2 linked regions of the Cricetulus griseus genome follow. The protein of the gene in region 1 binds, or shares a complex with, the protein of each later gene. Links are inferred from orthologs where the notes say so. Each region holds a gene or a part of one and is shown in the gene's direction. Other genes may lie near its edges.

Region 1 (3,820 bases):
CTCTGAGCCATCTCTCCAGCCCCAAGTTGTGAATATTTTAAAAAAATATTTAGATGTTTCATTTGCTTTTTTTTTTAAAGATTTATTTGTTTTTATTTTATATGCGTTGGTGTTTTGCCTGCCTGCATATATGTGTGCGAGTGTTAGATCCCCTGGAACTGGAGTTACAGACAGTTTTGAGCTGCCATGTGGGTGCCGGGAATTGAACTCAGGTCCTCTGGAAGAGCAGACAGTGCTCTTAACTGCTGAGCCATCTCTCCAGCCCCTCATTTCATTAATTTTTTTTTTTTTTGAGAACGGTTTCCTCTATGTAGCCCTAGAACTAGCTGTCCTGGAACTAGCTCTTGTAGACCAGACTGGCCTTGAACTCACAGAGATCCACCTGCCTCTTCTTCCCAAATGCTGGGATTAAAGGCATGTGCCGCGACCGCCCGGCTCATTTTGCTTTTATACTCATAAAACTTTTGCATGCAAAATCATAGTAATTGTTACTCAGTTAACCAGGGCATTTTCTTTTTTCAGGTAATAGAAGTATTTATTAGAGCAGAAGATGGTCTTTGCAGAGAAGTGGTGAAACACCTCAACCAGATTGAAGAACAAATTTTAGATCATTTGGCATGGAAAACAGAGTCCCCACTGTGGGACAGAATTAGAGATAATGAAAACAGAGTTCCTACATGTGAAGAGGTTTGTGACAATATCTTAACACCTATCTGTAAGGGAAGCATATCAATATTGTTTATGGTCCTCATGCTACAGAGAGTGGTTAGAGCTGGGGTCTGCCCTTGGCAGGCATGGGTTTGCAGTGTGGTTAATGGTTTATTCTTGTATCAAAGAGGAAACAGAATCAGGTTCTTTGAGGAACCTGTAACTGCCCTCAAGATTTCCATGACAGTAAAAATTAAGGCTGCTATCCTGACCCTCCAAATCAGTAAGGAACATTGGTTCACATGTAGTATCCGGTATCAAGTTTGAATCTCTTAAGACTGAAGATTTTAGTGTTAGTAATTTTATTAAGAAATAACTAATCAGACAAAAGTCGTTTCCTTTTGCCTTAGACTATTACTGTATTTCTAGTGAAATGCTTTTCTACTATTAAGATTTTGTGGAAATAACTCTTTGTAGGTAATGCCACCTCAAAACCTAGAAAGAACAGATGAAATTTGTATTGCTGGCTCTCCCCTAACCCCGAGAAGGGTGAGTGAAGTCCGCAGTGATGCTGGAGGGCTTGGAGGAGGTAAGTCTAAAATAGGAAGAGGAGTGTTTGCGTCTTCAATCTAGATACTTAGATTTCATCTAAACCTGTAAGTAAAGTGAATAGGCCATGCAGAGCAAAGACTATTCTATGTCTTTTAGTGATGTATTAATCACTTAAAAATGCTTTTTTTCCTGGGCAAGAAGATTGGGACAGGGTCTTGTGTAGTCTAGGTTGGCCTTGAACTTGCTATGTAACTTGCTATGATGACCCTGTACTCCTGACTGTCCACTTTCCAAATGCTGGATTCCAGGTGTGTATCACCACTCTTGACTTAAATATGCTTTTAAGGAATATTAAGAACATAAAAACATTTTTGAGAGATGGTTTGGTTGTATAACCCAGGCTGACCTTGAATTCTAGATTCTCTTGTCTCCACATCCCTGCTACAAGGACTACAGGAGTGTGTCACCATGCCATGCTTACGGGTATCTTTTTAGAACACTTTACATTTGATTTGGTCTTCATTTGTAAGTGAATTTTTATCTGTAAACACACAAAAAAAAATGGGAAAATCAAACTGTTAATAATACTTACATTGTTAACTATAGAATTCTCAGTGAATTTTTCATTCTTTCAACTATATCTTCCTTTTTATGGTTTTGTTTTGCAATGTTTATTAGAGATAGGAGTCTCACTATATTGGCCAGGCTGATTTTCAATCCTTGGTCTGGTCCTTCTGACTCAACCTCTGTCATAGATGGGAATATAGGTGTGTACCACCACACCTGACTATTCTTAAAGATAGAGCTATGAGATCTGGTTAGATACAGATAAGTCAGTGAGACAGGATGGCTTCATGGTTGGACCATGTTCAGCTTTGTGACTGGAGCTATGCTACTTAGGGTAATGTGATATCCATACTGGCCCAAGAAGTACAGAAAATACAGGCTTAAGTTTTTGCTGGCTCCTGAGATGACTGCCTAGGTGCAAGGTTTATATTTATGTATGGGAGTCTGTCTTCTTTGATTTTCTTTCTATTTCTCTCCCCTGGTGCTGGAAATTCAAGACAGGGCCTCCCAAATGCAAAGCACACATCCTGCAATAGATGGAGTACACCTCCAGCTCCACAACTGTTTTCAAAGAACAGTTGTATAGTTCCAGAGAGCTCTGCATCCATCAGAACATTGTCATTACTAAGCCAGTTTTATAATGTACTTGGTAACCACTAGCTATCAAAGGATCAGTTTTAAAGTCAAGTTTATTCCAAGTCAGTGCCGTATCAATAAACACAGATGATACAGAGTGTGGTGACACTCCTCTGTACTCAGCACTTGGAAGGCTGAGGTAGGAGGGTCTTAACTTTAAGGCCAGTCTACTTTAGCTACAAGAGACCCTGACTCAAAACAATAACAGACAACAGAAAACCAAACTAACTCACTAATTAAATGCTTTATGAAATTTTCTCACTTAAAATTGTTTTTAGATTTATTTTAAGTTTATGAGTGTTTCACCTGCATGTATGTCCACACACCAGGTTTGTGCTTGTGCCTACAGAGGTGGAAGGTGTTAGATCCTCTGTAAGTGGGGTTACGGATGGTTGTGAGCCACCATGTGGCTGCTGAAAACCAACTCCACGTCCTCTGCAAAAGCAGTGCTCTAAAGTGCTGAGGCATCTCCAGCCCTTGCTCATTTCTCAAAGAACAGCAATAATTGTTTAACTACTTTCAGTCATACAGACCTGGTTTCAGATCTGATAAACTAGTCTTTTCAGTACCATTTTTGTAGTTTTTCCTTCCCAAGTCTGTGAATTATAATTTGTCATTTACTTCTTGTTGTGCCCAAGTTGTGAAGACACCTAGAGACCACCAGGGAGACAGACCCACTGAACTGTAAAAGCAAGGTTTTATTGTTCATCCAACCATGACAGGGACCCTGTCTGGCTAGCCAATGCAGCAGCCTCCAGAGGGAGTGAAGTTCCCTGTCTACTGCTAGGTTTTAAAGACAAAAGTTACATCAGTAGGTATGGGTTGGTTTCTGATTGGGTGATATATGGGAACAATCAGGAGAATTTCTCAAAAGTCGTATTTTGGCATGAAATACCTGTGTACCAATTATTCTCATTGGTCAGTGCTGAGAGGGAACATTCTGTGGTTTCTATGGCTTTGTCTTGTTACTTGCAGGTGGCCTGTTGTACATAGATACCAATAGTTTTTAGAACTATATCCTGGAAACTACAGGGGAGGTTTTGGTCTCCCCTGGAGTTTTTTTTTTGTTTTGTTTTGTTTGTGGCCAAACAGTTCCTAGGAACCAGGATTCTAGGAGGCTTGGGAGGGGGGCAGTTGGAGTTTCTTTGTGTCTAGTTTTGGCTCTAGGCTCCTGGAGGCCAGAGGATCTGGAGTTTCCTTGTGTCAGAGGCCTAGGTGTTTTTTTCTGTAGCCTGTCATGGCTGCTAAAGCAGGGACTGAGTGAGGGTCTGATCCCTTCACTTCTGTTTCTCTGTACTTCCTAACTTGTCTCTTTATGAATCTACATGGTTGGATCCACAGCTCTGTCCCAGTCTTTATGTCTTCTTGTAACACAGGGAAAGTTAAGACACAGCTTCCAGGGTTCACTCTTGTTGGT
Region 2 (3,820 bases), on another chromosome or scaffold:
GAAACAACTGTGCCTGTCAGTGGCTGAATGGATAAAGAAACTGGGGGAATTGTATGTTCTGAGAAAGTTAAAGTTTTCCATTTGCCACAGTGGGGGTGAACAGGAAGGACATTACACTAAGACAGTAAACCAGACACAGAAAATTACTGTGTGTCTCAATCACACAGAATTAAAAACCAGAAATGAAACGTGCAGAGAGAGCATAGCTGTTTACCTGTGTTGGATTAGAGGAGAGAAAGTGAGGATGTGGGTGAAGTAGGGCAGGGGTCCCCTCTGGCAGGCAGTATGAGGCCTCATTTCTACTGAGATGGATTAGTTGCTTTTTTTTTTTTTTTCCTTCCAATTAATTTCTATTATGTATACGGGTGTTTTGCCTGCGTATATGTCTGTGCACCATGTGCATGCCAGATGCCCAGGGATGCCCAGAAAAGGACATCAGACCTACAATTGTGGATGCTTGTGAGCCACCATTTGGGTGATGGGAACTGAACCCAGGTACTTTGGAAGAGCAGCCTCTTAACCTCTGAGCTATCTCTGCTACCCCTTTGTTAGCTGCTCTTGCTCCTAAAGCAATAGGCAACTGCTCTCTGAGAGGTGATGATATGTTGACCCATGTTACTCTGGTAACTTTCTACCATTTGAGTGTGTCTCATGATATCACGTATATTTCTTAATGTGACTGAATATACAAAATGAGCTGAGTGGTAGAACACTTACCCTGGCGTGTCCAGGGCCCTGGCATACATTCCCAGCATTAACTTTTTTTTTTTTTTCCGAGACAGGGTTTCTCTGTGTAGCTGTGGAGCCTATCCTGGCACTCGTTCTGGAGACCAGGCTGGCCTTGAACTCACAGAGATCCACCTGCCTCTGCCTACTGAGTGCTGGGATTAAAGGCATGCGTCACCAACGCCCGGCCAGCATTAACTTTTTAAATTTCATGTGTGTGGGTGTTCACTTGCATGTATGTATGTGTACTACCTGTGTGCCTGGTGCCCCTAGAGGCCAGAAGAAACCTTAGATACCCTGGAGTTGTAGACAGTTGTGAGCCACTTTGTGGGTGCTGGCAACCAAGTCCAGTCCTATTCAAGAGCAGCATGTGCTCTCTCTTGACCACTGAGCCACCTCTCTAGCCCCCAGTTTTGTTTTTTCCAGACATTTTTTATGTTCAGTCATATATATGTGTATGCGTATGTGTGTGGCTATATGCACTCAGATGCATATAGCCACACACATACGCATACACATATATATGAGTGCATATAGCCACACACTATATGCATATGAGTACCCAAAGAACTTCTGCACTGATTTCCCTTGTGACTGTGTCAGCTTGTATTATCTTCACCAGCGGTGCCTAAGAGTTCCCCTCCCCTATATCCTCCAGCATTTGTTACTTGTTTTCTGTCAGGTCAGATGGAGTCTCGGTGTCATTTTGATTATCACTTTCCTTGGCTAAAGTGGCTGAACATCTTATCATTATTTTGGTATTAACTGGCTATTTGCACTTTTGAAAATTATGTAGATCATTTGCTTAGTTATTGATTGGCTTATTTGTTCCTCTGTTGTTGAATTTTTCCATTTCTTTCAATTGTGATGTTAATCCCGTTAGATGAGTAGCTGGCAAAGATTTTTCTCCTTTTTTGTAAGCTCTGTCTTCACTGGCGACTGCTTGCTCTGAAGAGGCTGTTCCTTTTCATCCTTTTGTCAGTTCTTGGAATGATTTCCTGTGCGAACGAACAGTTGGAGTCCTTTGAGGGAATCCTTGCCTATTCCTATAGCTTCAAGTGTTTGTCCTCTCTTCCTCTGGCAGTTTCAGAGTGTGAGGTCTTGCATTAAGATCTTTGATTCGTTGGAACACATTTTTGCACAAGATTATTTAGCTCTTTTTTGTTTTGTTTTATTTTATTTATTTATTTATTTATTTTTGCACATAGAAATCTAGTTTTCATAGCACCACTCAGAAGAGGCTGCTGTTTCTCCAGTGTATGCCTTTGGCATTTTTGTTGAAAATCAGGTGTCTGTAGCCCCTTGGATTTCTGGATCTTCCATTCTAACACATTGATCTGTGGGTCTGTTTTGTTGCTGTGGCTCTAATTTGAGATCAGGTATTGGTAACCCTCCAGCACTGCTCTTTCTGCTTGCAGTTACTTTGGCTGTTTGGGTTTCTTATGCCTCCTAATTTTAGACTGCTTCTATCTCTGTAAAGAACATTGTTAGTATTTTGGACTATTTACTTACAACCATTTTTATACTGGACTTTAGATGGTGTGCTGGTGTGGCATGTGTGAGGCTCTGGGTTCAATCCCTAGACATACTCTAAAATGAAAAATCAAACAAAAAACTTGGGAAAACTCATTTGTTGACCTTTTGGCTAAGGTCAGGTGGGGGAACTCTCGACTTGTCAATCCTTTGTTTGGTCAGGTCAGAGAACACCAGGTCTTACACTTTCATAATTTGCTGCCTTAAATCTGAAGATAGGAAGGGTGTACTTAACAGTTACAAAAATGTGAATGTAATGTTTTAGGATCTTTTCCTGAATTGTGGCAGTTGATACCATCTATACAGCTATACTTAACATTTGGTTCCTTTGAAAGTCTTCATAGTTGACATTTAGACATTTTCTTTAGTGAGAGTTAGCTCTAGTTCATGTTCTGATTGCTCTCTGAAGCTGAAAAGCCAGCCTTCCTTGGGGATTCTGTGTGTCAGTCTTCGTGTTTGGGAAACACCTAAGGTGTTCTACATTATTTTGCCGCATCAAAGCAAAGAAATGGCCATTTTATTCCCAAGACTCGAGGGTCGGGACAGAGCATGGGCTGTTAGTAGTGATGGAACAGCATGTTGAGGTGCTGTGGTAAGTCTGATGCCTGCTGTAAAATGAACCCTGCTAGTCCCTGGGCCCAGTATCTTCCTTAGCCAGTGCCCAGGAGAGGGAACTGGAGGGCTCACGGACAAGTTTGGGACATTTGTGACTGAGCCATTGGTCTGCAATGTCAAGACTAGGGTTCTTGATAGAAACACCATCTTCCTGGAACTGCCCCTTTTAACCTCAGCTCAGAGAACAGCTTGACTCTTAACCTGTGCCCTTGTATTCCAGGTGTGGTGTCTCTTGTAGCTGTCCACCCATCCACAGTGAACACACTTGGAAAGCAGCTTTTGCCAAAAACCTTTGGACAGTCCAATGTCAATATCACACAGCAAGTGGTAAGTGGTAAGACACATGAATCCCAGGTGTATGGAATGGGCTAGATGTGGGCGGTGTTGCTGTGGCCACAGTGTTCCTAAGTGGTGGAGGTTGCTTGCAGGAGTGACTCTCCTCTCTTGGGTGCATTCTGACTCCTGAAAGTGTGCACTGCTTTCTGTTGTACAGACATAGTGCTCAGTCTTCCGTTTCTTCAGTGTGCCCTATGTCTAGGAGTATTTGGAGGCCCTATACACATGGCAGTAACCTAATGGATATAGAAGGACTAAGGCCTGAACAAGCTTCCTGCTCCATGGCTTCCGTAGCTAGAGCTCTTGAGTTAGAGTTGCCTCTGTGTTACAACAAGTTCTGTGGCCTTTTTCTATAGCCACTGTGTCTCCTAGTTGCGAAGAGATGAAGGAAGGGTGTGGCTGTGTGGCTATGGCCACAGGAAGGGACCAGCACCATCCCCTTCCTTCATTGAGTAACACATCAAAGATGAAGAGCCCCTCAGTGTGATTCGGTCTCAGGCCAGTGGAGCGAGCTCACCTGTAGCTGGAGGTTCCTTCGGGGGTATTTTAGCACAGACCCATAGTGGACAGATTCCTGTCTTTCATCCAGGGACCTACCTTCTTCATGGCT

What was found.
Region 2: Rbl2 (region 1) and Tfdp1 share a complex: the UniProt entries of both Homo sapiens proteins name them as parts of the DREAM complex. The link is inferred for Cricetulus griseus from reciprocal best matches to the Homo sapiens genes RBL2 and TFDP1.

Annotation. Positions count from the first base shown.
Region 1 is NC_048596.1:166,771,525-166,775,344, forward strand, and holds part of Rbl2 (retinoblastoma-like protein 2), read left to right. Parts: intron 1-522; coding exon 523-687; intron 688-1,125; coding exon 1,126-1,237; intron 1,238-3,820. UniProt on the Homo sapiens protein: Key regulator of entry into cell division. Directly involved in heterochromatin formation by maintaining overall chromatin structure and, in particular, that of constitutive heterochromatin by stabilizing histone methylation.
Region 2 is NW_023276807.1:67,425,175-67,428,994, reverse strand, and holds part of Tfdp1 (transcription factor Dp-1), read left to right. Parts: intron 1-3,094; coding exon 3,095-3,201; intron 3,202-3,820. UniProt on the Homo sapiens protein: Can stimulate E2F-dependent transcription.